2 linked regions of the Lepisosteus oculatus genome follow. The protein of the gene in region 1 interacts with the protein of each later gene in a pairwise test. Links are inferred from orthologs where the notes say so. Each region holds a gene or a part of one and is shown in the gene's direction. Other genes may lie near its edges.

Region 1 (7,535 bases):
AAAGTGTAAAATACACATAAAGGGATGTTATGTTATACTACTCTTTCAAAGTACTGTGTATTTTGGTCACCACCATGCAAAACATTTTGCTGCTCTGGAATCTGGAAAATGATATCTTAGGAAAGGGCTCCTTCAAGAAACAGCTGAACGAGATCCCTGGATCAATAAATTACTATTAATCATGGTAAATTAGTTGAATGTCCTACTCTTATATGTAGCCATTTTTCTGTTCAGAGAAGAACTGCATATTTTCACTCACACTGAGAAAGACAGCCCAGTGGACTTCAGAAAGAACAGTGAAACACAAACATTGGGACATGAATGGAGACTGATGGGAAGCTCATTTAAAACTAAGAACAGGAGGCACGTCTCTACACAAAGGATTGCGGGAGTATGGAAAAATCTACCTAGCCACAGCATTCTTTGAGAAACTTCTGGCTGAGATCTACTAAAAAACAATCAAACTAATGGACAAATGGCTTCCTCTTCTTTGTGAATTTTACGTTCTAAAACGTTTGAAGATGTAAAACTTCCGGTAACTATTCTATCACTCCAGGAATAACCCAGTGGAGTCAGCTGTACAGACCAGTGGATGAATATAAAATTATTTATAAAACTGTAAATAAAAGAATGCCAATAATTTCTTATAATTTACTGTTAAACTGACCCGCACGCCAGAAACACAATGGATAATCGGGGCAAAAAAAACTACCCAGGAAAGAGTTGCAAACTACAAAAAAGACTAAATTTAAGACCGGGAGTTACATACTAGTTAAACAAAACTGACATTTTAAGGAACGCGCAGGATCCGAGAACCCTGAAGGGGACTGGAAAAGTAGCAGTTGCCTAATAAAAAAGTGAATCATCACCTGGCTTTCCATGGCCAGTACACTGTTTAATGTTCTATAAAGGACATACTAATACAGTATCTTACAATTACGGTTGTGCTAACTATACCTTCAGTGTGTTGTTCTTGTAGGTGGAGCTCAACGTGCTCCTGCAGAATGTAACAATCGGCGCAGACGAGGGAACACATTGGACATGGGTACATCCTCTCTTTATAACAATAAGAATAAAAAAAGATTAAAATACAAAGGACACATAGTTCTGAGCAAAATAGACAACATGCCTAGCTGCTAATGCAAATTGTCTGCAAAAAGGGAAACGGAAAGACCAACTTCTTGCACTTATGCAGTCATAAACTTGAAGAAGATTCCACGCTAAGAACCTACTACAGCTTTGAAGTTCAGAGACACCAAAGTGAACAATACTGTCAATACTGTTCGGTCCTATTGTGCTACAGGTTTAGAGTACTGGATCAAAACTCCACAAAAAGCACTGAATGGGAAGAACTCTGTTAAATATCTACTTATCTATCCGATGCATCCCTAAATGCAATCTGCGTCACACTGAACGTAACTCTGTTAGCTCCTAATTCCAGGAAATGCAATCCAGACGACAAGTGTTTGCAGCAGAGTAACAAACACATACAGTAACAAACCCGGTGCCTGCTGGGAACTTCAAATCTAGAATAATGAATAAATATTCTAGAAAAAATCTAGAAGAAATAGTATTATTTATGGCACTCTTCTTATTCGTGCAAGGCCTAGCTGTTAATAAATAACTTGCAGGGTTTTTTTTTAATTTCACACTTATTTTTCCTTCTTTGATCCATAAGGAAAATGCCAGATACAGATGGTTAGGAAAGGAACTACATGAGAGACAAGCGTTATTACAACGCTGCTATACAATACCTACCTTTCTTGGGTGAATGAATGCGTTTTTGTTTTGCCTTTACTTGTGGTCCTGAGCATTCCTTCGCCACATGCTCCCGTTCGGATGTACATGCTGCGTGACTCACAACTCTTTCTGAAGCAGCCATCCCAGTTTCTCTCGGCGTTTGGGGGACTTTTGTGGATTCTCCTTGATCTTGTATTTTTAATCCATTTTCCTTCCATGTAAAAGAATCCTTTAGCACGTGTGCAGCATCCTGAGACATACCAACTACATGCTTTGAGTTCTGGGGACCTTCAGGATCGGATACTTCCATAGTGTTGTCCGTGTGGCCAGAGGTGGATGCTTCTACCACCTCTATATCCAAACCTGATTTAACCTCTTTCCGAGCGGAGGTCTCTGATAGCTCAGTGTTATTCTCTGAGTGGGCTATATCAATATGAAATAGCAGTTCATCGTAGGTCACACCTGACAGACAGCAGATCGGGCACCTAATTTCATTTTCCAAATGGCTGAGGAGGAGGTGAGTCTTCATGTCAGCTTCAGACAGCCCCTCCTCACCACAGATTTCACAAGCAAACATGATGTCAGCCTTCAATTATATCTGAAATAAAAAATAAAGCTGCGTGATCAGATCTTGCCACAGAGGTACACAATGACAAACATCTGACATCAACCTCTAATAACAAAAATAATTTACAAAAACTATAAATCCGTTAATAAAAAGCAAACAATGTAAGTGTCGTGCATTATTACACAAACCCTGACTGAACAGAACAAAAAGAAAATAAAGATTGAAAGATGACAGTATTTTAAACTTTTATAACATTATACCACGATGGGTAATATTGGTTGGTTTTAAACACTGTAATATATATTCCACAGTTCTGGCATAATTTACAAGTAGTAAGAAATCTGTGGAAAGGACACAATACGTAGAAAAGGTTAGTTCAAAATGAATTGTCATTTGTGCAGCATAAAACACGACTTTCTGTAGGCCTAGGTGTTTGTATGGACATCATTTACATATTCTTGACACTGTAAAAAGCTCTAAAAGGGCAGTAAAATGTTAAATAATACAGTCACAGCTTAGAAATCATATCAAGAGATGTTACAGAACCTTAAAATGGTACAAAGCACAAGATGTCATTTACATTAAGTGTACAGCTTTGATAACCAAATAACAAAAAAGGATATTGCTACATTGGAATCTCTCCAGAGAAGTTAAACTTAACAAATTCCTGGGTTGAAGTAATGATCTGATCTGCACTGACAGGTTTAAAGAGCTTGACTTTTTTTGTTGCTGTTCTGTTGCTGGACGTCTTCCAAATAAAAACACACAGCAGAGGACACCAGTGGAAATGCATCGTGAATTGACATGAGCTGGAGTCCGTATCTTAATAATACTATTCCCAATAGCAATATTATTTTCAGACTTTTATCCAAAGCAACTTACAGATGCTTGACAAAAGGCGTTTAACAGGAAAGGGTTTATGAAATTAAGAAATGGATTACGTATGCAAAATACAAAATACGTACGAGACTCAAGGTGCAGTTGGACCAGAGACTGCGAGGTTTCATGGTCGTTTACATAAGCACACAGTGTATATTTCGGTCCTCATCCAAAAACTAATTGAGTGTTATTCTGTTACATAAATTGTATACGTTTCAGTTAAAAAATATTGACACATGTAATCCGAAATAAGTACTTATCAGTAACTATGAATTAAAGAATAGAAAGTTTCAACAAATTCGCTCCTGTACCCGGACACCACAACATACTGTACATTGAAAATATGATGTTTTTAAAAGAAATCTCTTAAAGCTGAATCAAAACAAAACAAACAAAACAGGATTGTTGTCATTCACCGCGGCGTGAATGACAACAGTCCTGAAGAACCAAGGCCAAGAGCTAACCGGGAATAACAATGCATAACAAAGATAAAAAGAATATAAATAATTAACACTATTCCGCGCTTTTCTCCGGAAAGGTAGAGAAGCATAACAACTTAAAATCATCTTTAAAGACACCGAAAGCTCTGAAAACGGATAAAAACAGGGCAAGAAATGTGCGCTTTAATTTGCCTCGCTTCCTCACCCTTCTTTCTCGTATTTCTACCGCTTTGATCGCTGCCGCTGTACACTCACTATTGCAGCAACAACACTTGCGTTTTCATTTTCCATTCAGCCGACTCCTCTCTTCCGCACGTGAATCCCACCCGCCCGGGCAAGGCCGCGAGCCAATTGAGTGCAAATACGTCACGTCATTGGCCGTGGCCATTTGAGAACATGAAGGTGACGTAATGCGGAATCTCGACGCTTGGGAAGAAATAGACACATTAACCCTCTCTGTGCACTGTTCGTACAAAACACGCTCTGTAGCATGCTTACACTTTTATGTTATGAGTAAACCGTGCTCCGAGAGTATTCCCTGTGTTGGGAATAAGTGCTAAAGTACTCCGTCTACCTCCTGTGTGGTCAGGACGGGACTCTGGCGACTCAATGTCCCTGTGTGTAATGCTGAAGACGGAGGCATCCTAACCCAACAAGTCTATACCTCATACTTCTTTCATACTATTTCAAAATCTCGCATTGAAGTATCCGTAACGCGCGGAGATGCTTTTACTAAATCTCTGATCGGGTCAGGCCTTTAAATTATGTTCTGCTTTTATTATAACACAGTGTCCCTGTGCAATGCAGGCGTTTTCGTCTGTCAGAAAAACCTGCAGCAGTCGTGGATCCTGGATCTTACCGAGCTCCAGCGCTGATTGGCCACAATCTCCTGCTGACGGACATAAGGGGGCTGCTGGGAGTCCTCTGTGCAATTGACAGAGGTGCGCCATATTGCGCTGAACTGTGTTAGCAATCCTGGTGAGGCAGTGCTCGGAAATAGAGCTGCGCAATTACTAAGCACGCAAGGCAGTACATGGGTAAGCGCTTCCTAACCCTTACACGGTCATCGTAGTCACTTGTTTGACAAGCGGAGCATGCCGTGCTCTTTAAGGTACACGGGGGAGGCCAGGCGCCAGGCTGAAGGAGTTTCAGCTGTTTATTTACAGTTAAGGTGGCTTTCGTGGGAGGGGATGTAACTAGAAAATCTGTAGTGCCTGCAGTTCTGAGCTCCGGTGTTAGGTGGCCAGTTGGCGGAGGGTGTAGGCCCCAGAGGCTGGCAACTGGCTCGTAACCAGGCGTTTGGGGTCACTGGAAGTCCTAGACAGGCTGTGGAAGAAGATCTAAAGGTTGGCTGCGGTCTTGTATTTTACCTTGGTTTTGTTTAGTGTCTTGTGATACTCGTGAGCACGCCTGGTGCAGCCCACCTGAAGACACAGGTAACCGTGGTCTTTAAATGTGTTTGCCATTTGTCCTGGAATCTTGCCGACTTGCGTTTTTTTTAAATAAATTGTACGCGGTATGTAATTGTCTCTTTAGGTTAATGTTGAATATCGTAATTTGTACCTATTATGATCTTATCTGGTAACGTCGCCTAGCCTTAGTTCGTACCTGTGATGGGTCTGGTTTGAAGTGTATCGTAAATGTACAGTGACCGTATGAACAAATAGTTGATGGGCGATGACGGGTCAGGCAGTGATGTTTTTCGAATAAAATAATTGGCATTGCTCTAAGCGTAGGTTCGGGTTTGTGTTCTCCGCCGAGTTAACGTTATTTGGCTGACAGTTTTGGTCCATTTGTACCCATTTATATAGCTGGGCATGGGCAGGAAACAGTTCGAGTTAATGATCAGTGCGCAACATCGGTGCCTCTCCCGGAATTTGAACCCCTCAAACTACTAATAACGCTGTTTCACATTTCTACCCTTTCCAGTTCTTCTACCCAACAGTTCTCCTGTTGTTGACTGACGACACCCCTGTCATAAATTCTGCAAATGTCGCTAGCTGTTGCTGAAGGTCACTTAAGTTTAAAATGTCACTATTTTTGGTGCATTAAAGCTGTCACTTAATATTTTCACTTTGTCTATGATCTACGCTTGTAATATCTAGACTGCATTCTTCGAAGCTGAAATGGCTTTATGTATTTCAGTCAACTTGGGTATACTTTGAGTAAAATGGGGGGGAAATTACCGGTAGTGGTTTCCCAAGGTAAAAGAAAGTGAAGGTCCCAGAGTCGCTTGTGTACCAACTTGTTAAAGAATGTTCAACGCCCCCCCCCACACACACACACACCAAAAAAAACGAATGAAAGGTCTAAAAGGGAATCTTTTTTGTGGAGACTGAAATGGGATATCACTGTATTACTGCAATATGAATTGGTAACAATTCCACCATAGAGGTCTTCCCTGTAGTTTTGGTTTTTACACACATTTTACAAACGGATGTACATAGCGTTCATTGATGCCAGAATTTCAGCAAGCTTTGGCAGAGTCTTGTGTATACATGGTCTAATGCAGACTCAGTCACTGGTGGCACGTCTCTGCCACCTTCCCAGAAAACCAGCAGCGTGTCCTTTTTCGTTTGTGTTGATGCTTGCTGCATATTGTCTCTTTCATTTTCCCTGTGGCTCCCTCCTGTTTTTTTTTAACTATCTGGTGAGAAGCCATGACTCCTAATTGTTACAAGTGAGGAAGTCGTTTGTTTCTTCGCTTTCGTGATCTGTGATAACGTCAGATGTGTTGGATCAGTTTGAGTCGGGTGAATCATGTTTTGGTTTTGTAACTTTTACTTTTTACAGGATGGGGTAGTTAGTCCCACCTCGAAGTGCGATGGAGGGGCTGCCTCCTTAAAGCGTTCGACCTAAATTGATTTCTGTTAGGGTCGTCTCTCTTAGCCTTTGAGGATCCCTCCTCTGTCCACAAGGCAGTGGATCCCTGTTGGTCCGTGGGCCCTTATTCTGTATTTTTGGGCCACACTGCTGTTATGGTGGGCTCCCCCATCCGCCCCATGGGGGACACACTCTCTAGGGATTACAGGGTCCTCAAAAGATGGATAAACGATGTTGAAGACCTCAGAAAGCTGAGAGTGAGAGGATGGCGAAGACTGGTATGGGGCCGAGATGCGTGGAGGAGGCCAGGGCTCTACAAGGGCCGTAGCGCCATGCGGCTAGTTAGTTAGAGTCATGTGTTACAGTGGAAAGATGAATGGTGGTAAAGACAGTAATGATACATCTCAAACTTTCTCTTATTAATGTATGGGAAATTCGTTAAATTACCTTTTATTTCTGCTGTGTATGTACACTTGATTTACTTGTTACGTGCCCTGGGTGCTATCTGTGTGGAGCTTTGTATGGGTTTCCTCCAGGCACTCTGGTTTTCTCCCACAGTCCAAAGACACTGGTAGGTTAATTGGCTTCTGGGAAAGACTGGTCCTGGTGTGCGTGTGTGCGTGCGTGTCCCGTGATGAACTAGAGTCCCACCCGGGGTGTTCCCCGCCTTGCGCCCATTGCTTCCCGGGATAGACTCCACCTCCCCTGTCTCCCTGAATTGGGAGAAGTGCTTAGTAAGTGTAGGGATGTGTTGTATGTGACTGAAAGAAAGAAGTGAGGTCTATTATGAGGTTTACAAGTCTAATGCTGGTCATCTGCACCTCAATCCCTTTTTCCCCCCCATGAACTTAAATATTCATTACATGTGATTTCTTCAGCCAGGGGGCTTTCCAGGAGTGAACCCCCATGTGAAATGAGGGGAAAGGTGTATTGAAGTGCACAAAGACACTGGGACGCGTCCACTAAAATTTCACCGTGAACTTTTTTTATTCTCTCCTCCTGAGTCTATTCTCTGTATTCAAACCAGACGCCATGGCAAGCCCCGTGAAAGACAACTGCCGAATGAAGAGTTACAAGAACAAAGC
Region 2 (7,589 bases), on another chromosome or scaffold:
TCTATTTTAGGTACTTCTTCGTTAAAAGAAGTGAAAATCTCATCCCAGAAGAGACTGTTTAAGGGCTATCTAAAGAACATTTGCTAGCTGCACAAAAGAAGCTACACGTTGGGAGTCCCCAATTAACTGTGGAGATTTCCTTACGAATAATAAGCATACTTATGGAACGAAAGAAGTGTTCAACCCATCTGCCATCCACAAGCTCCAAAGGTGTCATTTCACGGCACCTTCCTGGTTGCCAGAGACTCTAACTGATGGAAAGCAGCCAAAAGTATTGTGTTGAAAAGCTGTGACTGGTTGAATGGTTGAAAAATGGTTGAGAGTCTGAGCTCTGCTTTCCTGGAAGTGCTTGAAATGGACATTTCCAGATTCCCTGCACAATGCTACCTGAGGCCCGGTGATAAAGGTTTCTCAGGTTGAACCAGAGTAACTGTTGGAGCTGTTCTCTTTGTGGGCTGGTAAAAGAATTATTTGACCCTATATGGCATTTTAATCTAGAGAAAAGCATTAGCATTCACAATTGTGAAGATCTGATTGTGAGAAGCCTAAGACAGCAGGAGTTCCATCAATCAGCTAATTAATTTCTCAATCTGAAACCCTGGTGGAAATTCCTGTGCTCCACTTTTATGTCATCGTAATGGTTTTCGTATCTTGTAAAATTACACAATGATATTAGTAACACCTCTCAGCCAGTCACTAATTTTGTCTCAGGGTAGAATGAGGTCCAGATTCAGAAGACATGCAAAAATCAACATTTAAATTAGGATTTTATCTGTACACATCCCTTGAGATAAGAACATCTGAAAAAGAAAACAAAATGTGCATATTGTATGAATTTAGATTATAGCATTATAGCATGAATAAGAATTAATAATATTGGAGGTATTTTAACTGTAAATGAAAACAAGGCTTGGTGTTATCGAAAGCTGGATCTGCTCTAATTATTGCTACATTCCTTGGAGATATAACATCTGTAACCCATGGTCTGAACAGCTGTACCTTCACATGTTTTTTTTCTGTAACTATGGCAAAACTTTTATCTATACTGTATATATACAGTATAAGGTTACATAACCCGTGTATGTGTTCAAGTGGAGAGCTGCGTCAGCATATGTAGGCTGTAACGGAACAAGTAAAGGTTAATTCCATACTGAAAAACAGAAGGGAGAAACACCATTTTTCTGACGTAGAACCTTCTTCATGTATGATGAAGGCTGTACAGCTGAAACATTGTTTCTCTTGTCTGTGTTTCACATGGAATTCATCTTTTCTTATTTTTTTACACAGATTTATATGTAACACGTTTAATGTTGTAAATCAGCATACAAATACACTGTTACTGAAGTGAGTACTGTATGTGATCCAGCCATATTAACAAAATAATAAAGATTCAAATGGTAAAGAACATGTAAAAAATGTTAAGAACATGGTATGAATGTTAAACAAAGGTATCATTCCATACAAAATCAACCTGATAACTTTCTTAAAAATAAGGTACCTACATTTTTCCTGTGGAGGAAGGATTTGAGGCAAAATGTTTCTGTCAAAACAAAATAATATCACTTTCCATCTGAAAAACAATCCAAACATCAGAAATAGTCCTTATTTAATGAAAAATGTGTACCGATTGTATGCTTTATTGTTTTTTCTTCCACAGGGTGTTTTCGTTTTGTGGTTCGATTGACATGTTGGAGATTTGTCCTGTCATACAAGAACATTCAGCAGTTGTGACAGTGCGCCTCTTTCAAATGTTGCTCCTTATTCTGTGTGAAGTGAATATAACATTCAGCCAAGAAGGCTTTCTTATTTCAGAGGGGAGAGCATTTCTCTGCCAGGTCTCAAAGGAAAACAAAACACCTTTGATGGTTCAGGATGAACTACATACAGTATGGATAATCTATAAAACTGCAGGGCCTCAGTAGCCTTGCAATGATCATGCAAAACATATCAAAATGATTCTTTTGCTTTGGAAAAATAAATTTTACCTGTCAAAACATTTGTGTATTTCACAGTGAAAGAGAGGGGAGTCGAATGTGATAAAGCTAAATGACAGCTCAGGGAGGCAAAGTACATCCCTGACTCTTAAAAGCTGCACACACATATTCGAGTATAGAAAGCTTCAAGTAAATCCGTATCCAAAAGTTTGGTTTCCCAGACTTTACCTGGGGGACCACTGCTGGGCCAGGGAGGCCAGCATATGAAGACAAGAGGACCTACATTTCAAAAATATGATGGGCAGTGGTAGCCTGGCTGTGTGACACAGGATTTCTGCAACATATCTGAACTGAAAGTGAGCTTCTTCCAGCCAGAAGGATCTGCTCATGCTCATGTCCTAGAATTGATCATGTTCTTATGATGTCTAGGGGCCAGGTATTTAACAGTTGCAGGCAACAAGGGCAATGTACAGGTCCTTATATCAGAAGATGACATAAGTAAAGCCTCACAGATATTACGCAATTGGACAACAACAAAGATGATACGAGTTGTTAGGGATTCCAAAAGGACGTCTGTTTTTTTCTATTTGTTTTTTTTCCAGAGACATTTTGGGTTTAGACAATATGTGGAGAGCAGAACGTTCCAAATCACATTGCATGTTGCATTTCCCTTAATAATGACCTCTCTATCATATAATTTGTCATGGCTCTTAAATTACCAGAAGCTCCACTCTGTTATTTTCTGTGCTCATACATTAGTGCAATCTGTAGAGCAGCAAACCAAAAAATAAAAACAAATAGGCTGTTAGTTGAAAAAATGAACCCCTAACAAACCTCAGAGTAAAACAATTTATCTTTTGAGGGGCATGTGATGAACTTATAAATGACACCAAGAGTTGCTTGGAGTAGATCAGAGTTTAACAATGTCTTCAAGCAGGCCGTGCAAATTAGAATTTGTTCTAAATTATCTTATCTGGACAAATGTTTCAATATAAATTAAAAATAAGATACCTCTTCTAAATGTACTGAATATTCATCAGTTTATTGATTTAATCAGAGACCCTTCATTCTACTAAGAAGCAGAAAACACACCTTTATTTAACCAGATAAATGAACGAAAGAAACAAGCTCTTGATTACAGTGAAAACCTGTAGAGTACCCATTTATACAGCTGGGCATTTTTCTGGAGTAACCTTGAGTGACGCACCTCACTCAGGATTACAACAGCAACGCTACACCTAGGATTTGAATCCACAGCTTTCTAATTAGAGGTCCTGAACCCTAATCGTTCCTCCACACTGCTGAGTGAAAGGTTCTAATGAGCAAACTGATTGCAGAGACAGAATGTGAATACTTATTTGTGTGAAACTGCGCAATGTGAAATTGTAGCAATATGGCTTGGCATAATGTAGTATTCAAAGCCCAAATCTAAAAAAACGTTCACTTTATTTTTTCTGTGAAAGCACCGAGCTCCCAAGTATATAGCCAGTATATACGCATTCTCTGTCAAGTTTTTAAGGATAAAGTGGTAAAACAAACAGAGCCCATATTTTTTCTTCATGGCTGTGAATGATGAATAGCTGACACATTGTACAAGGGGCCTATTCAGTACAGCCAGGCTCTGAAAGGGTTAAAAGCAACACAGCACCTTTTGTAAAGATCATAGTTTGGAATTAACAGACCACTCAGAAATACAGCTCCAGATTACTTGTATAATAAGGCTATTATTTATCTTTGATGATAATGATTATAATAATAATAATAATAATAATAATAATAATAATAATAATAATAATAATAATAATAACAAATGCAATTTTTAACAAGGTCTACCACATTTTTGAGGTTATTTAACAACACAACTCCCTGTTCTCTCCTTTCCGTGTCCTCTGAAAAGTACTTTCTCTCAGAAATTCATCCTTGCATTACTAAAAAATAATTTTACATTTGTTCCTTTGGCCATTGCTATGGAGACAATACAATTTTTTGATGTACTTATAAAAAATAAATGTTATTCCCCTCAACGTTTATTGTACATTTTTATTAAACAACTTAAAGCATGTCAACGGCCTTAAGAAAATAAGGTAGGCTTTTTAAGAATTATATAATAATTTTGTACCAGGCCATCTATCTCTAAACAACTGGATTAATGTTTGGGTGATATTAGTATGCTACACTACACAAACCTTGTCGCCATCATTAATGGAAATCACAGTATAGTAAACCTGTTGATAAAACAACCTACACTGCTACAGTTTATTACTTATAACGGAAATACAAAATAAGTAATAATACAATTTCACGCAGCACGATTTAAACACGAAAGCAAATCGTATCTGAAATGATTTTATTTGTACACACAATTACATAGTGTAAGAGTGCACAGTCACTCATAGCTATGCGTTTTACCTTAATTCAAAAGAGAGAAATTGTCCCTGGTAAGAAAACTACAATAATGAATGAAATGCCTTTGGCAACGTCATGTTCGGGAGTATGACAACAGGTCAGTCAGTGACTCTGCATTGCCTGTTTAACTGCAATGGGCGTCTCTGGCCGGCGGCGGCAGTATTGAGTATATATGTGTTTCAGTCCCATTTCCCTCCATGGTTTCTCCTCTCCCTGAGTAACTTGGCGTTTGGCTCACTTCATTATACAGTCCCATATTCTCCCTCCATTAAGGCATCTCTCTGCGTTTTGGACTGAATCAAAAATCCTTAAAAACCCAAGAGGAAAAAAAACTTTTAAAGGGGAAGATGGACATGAAAAAGAGGATCCACTTAGAGCTGAGGAACAGGACCCCATCTGATGTAAGAGCTGCTTTTTCAAACCTTAGTTTGTTACTTTTTCTGCTTTCCTGGTGATGACCTGTGTAATGGTGACCACATGGGTTTAGTTTTTTATTTTTATTTAATAACTGATAAATTACTGCTCAAGTTTCCGTATTAGGCTTTATCGAGGTGGTTAAATCTTACAGAGCTACATAACCAAATAGTTTCGGAGGCTTGGTTGTACAGTATTTAGTATTATTGTTGCAGTCGTTGCCTTTAACCGTTTCGGAGCCTCTTGTCTCCGTGTTGCTCCCTCGCTGGTGTGATAAAGGGTAACTTTTACTTGGCCGTATAGCGGGAGGGCTGCTTCTTTTTTATCGATGCATAGATAAAATTGATTTATTAGTTTTTTTTTTTGTTAAAGGTTTATTTTTACAGAAGGCTCGGTAGCCATATTTGTAACAGCATGAAATGGGGCGCCCTTTATTACAAAGCAGTTTTTTAAATAAACCTCGCTGGTGTAGCGCTGAAATAAGTAGTCTGCTCTAAAGAAGTACGGTGCAGGGTTATTCATAATCCTAAATTGAGAAGCAGCCGGGGTTGGTTTAACGTGTTTGCTTTCAACGCCCCAAAAGAACCAAAATCGTAGAAAAAAAATACTTAAATCACACTCCCCCCACCAAATAATCTAAATACACGTTTGTTTCAAGCCGAGAACCCAAAGTTGCAAACCGTTTTTATTTTCCTTCGAGGTTAAATCTTTCCAGCAATAATTACATGTTACACATTTTAAAGAAAAAAACGGTATTTAGGTTACATTCTTCCACAATAACCTACTGAAAAATACCATTTCTTTACACAAGACCTCCATAAAGCGTTAACGATTTATGTAAAAGTAGTGCACAGTTCCCGCCATATTACTACCCATTAAAAATACAAATCCGGTAATGTTTAATCCGAGATTAATGTTGTTTTTCTTGATTTAAAGCAAAATACTTTGATTTCACGGCAAAATATACTGCAGCCTCGGAATATTCAGTTACAAGACTAGCAAGTACAGCACCCAGGTGGCAAAAAAAACCCACGCTTCAACCAACACATGCAAGACGAATAACACGTTTCAAAAATGTTAAAGGTGAAGTTTTAATACGAGCGTATCTTTTGGTTTTATGAAGTGTTCAATCTAACTTTGCAGGTGAAAAGGGTGTTTTAAATCAATGCAGAAAAGTTATTCCGCTTCTTTTCCCCACTGCTCGGAAAAGCTCGGAGTACAGTCGCTCGGGAATCGCCATGTTGTCGCCCTGCCGTCTTTGAAGCCCTCGGAGAAAGGAACTTTCTCCATCTTTGTCCTCCTAATTTCCGTTCAAAACGACTCCTTCGTCATTCGCACTCGCACCAAGATACGATATTTCTGCTCAGTCACGTTTATTATTATTCGGATGTTTTTGTTCGGAGGCGATAAAAAAGTCGTTTTGATGTTTTTTATTGAAAAATATAGACGAGGCGGTCAATCCTCAGCGATGCTGATGTTTGATGGCGGGCTGACGGATTCTCTCTGCAACCCCGACAACAGCGCTCTGGCTCTTAAAAGGGCAATGGCTGGGAAGACAAATCATTGCCTCCAGTCACTGCAGCACAGGCACACGGTGAAGAGCACGAACGCATGCACTCAGTAGGCCAAGGATTATTATGCGTAATTCACCTCGTTTGCCTTTCCACAGTAAACAAGAACGCTTTTTATTGGTATTACCACGTTAAGTTTCTACGTGCTTTTGTCTAGAAAAGTTCACTCAACAAGGCGAACTCACCGTTTAGAATATTTATACACTCACGTCGAATATGTTCTCATTGTACACCGAAAACCTTAGTTTGTTCCAACAAATTCGTTAAATAACAAATCTCCTTTCCCCTTATTTTCCAGATTTGTGCTAGTATAAAAAGAGTCCCTTTGGTTACAATCATTCGTGCATTTCTGCACTGACGACTACAGTTTTCATGAAAGGGATGTGGTACACATTTGTAATTGTGAGAGCTCTCAACAAGCTGATTGAACTCTGGGACTGGTTGCATATAAGTTACAACACCTGAAATTTCAAAAGCATTATTAAAACTGGATAACATTTCGCTTAATTTGGGTATTGAATGTGTTATATACATTACTTTGTACCACCTTTAAACCTAAGAAAACTGGGGATGGGGGGTTAAAAAGAATACATGGAGCTAGAACAATAATGTGTTTTTGCTTAGTGTAGCTTGTTTCTTTAGCGACAAATCTCAGTTTTTTTAGGGGTCTTAAAATTCAGGGTGTGGTCACTTTGTGCTATAAATGAGCAGGTAAGTTGATCTATTGGCATTTTAGATTTAATGACTACTATTGGTAGGTAAAACTATGGATCAATTTTATGCCCAGTGAACATCCTTCAGACAGGAGATGTAAAGAACTTCATCTAACTTGCAAGTTTGACTAAATGACTGAATGTGTGCCTCAAAATAAGTCAATTTGTTGTATGTTTAAAGTGATTTAGTCAGTTAACTCTCTGGACTTCTTCAAGACTGACTGTCCAAAAGAAACTTAGGGGAAGTTAATTAAAAACTGGGAAATAGATGCACTTCATTACACAGAGAGTTGCAGGAGTCTGGAACAAGCTCTGCAGCAATTTTAAAGCCGATACCATTGCATCTTTCAAGGAAATGGCTGGATGAGATCCTTAGATCAATGAGCTACTTGCCAATCAAGGACAGATGGGTTAAATGCACAGTTCTTATAAATCACTGTTATTCTTTACATGTGTAATTCTCATTAATGAAGGTATTAGATTCTTTTAAAAATTATATTGCATTAATTGGTATGAGGACATTAGGGGCATTTTTGCCCAACATTTAGAAG

The links.
Region 2: the proteins of kpna5 (region 1) and anp32b interact in binary tests that used the Homo sapiens proteins (3 or more experiments, as listed by UniProt). The two-hybrid records come from large-scale screens. The link is inferred for Lepisosteus oculatus from reciprocal best matches to the Homo sapiens genes KPNA5 and ANP32B.

The regions. Positions count from the first base shown.
Region 1 is NC_090697.1:32,627,524-32,635,058, forward strand, and holds the start of kpna5 (importin subunit alpha-6), read left to right. Parts: upstream 1-4,535; 5' UTR 4,536-4,660; coding exon 4,661-4,664; intron 4,665-7,477; coding exon 7,478-7,535. Other genes in the region: zufsp (zinc finger-containing ubiquitin peptidase 1), read right to left, coding at 958-1,056, 1,759-2,317. UniProt on the Homo sapiens protein: Functions in nuclear protein import as an adapter protein for nuclear receptor KPNB1. Binds specifically and directly to substrates containing either a simple or bipartite NLS motif.
Region 2 is NC_090696.1:59,047,719-59,055,307, forward strand, and holds the start of anp32b (acidic leucine-rich nuclear phosphoprotein 32 family member B), read left to right. Parts: upstream 1-4,521; 5' UTR 4,522-4,687; coding exon 4,688-4,741; intron 4,742-7,589. UniProt on the Homo sapiens protein: Multifunctional protein that is involved in the regulation of many processes including cell proliferation, apoptosis, cell cycle progression or transcription.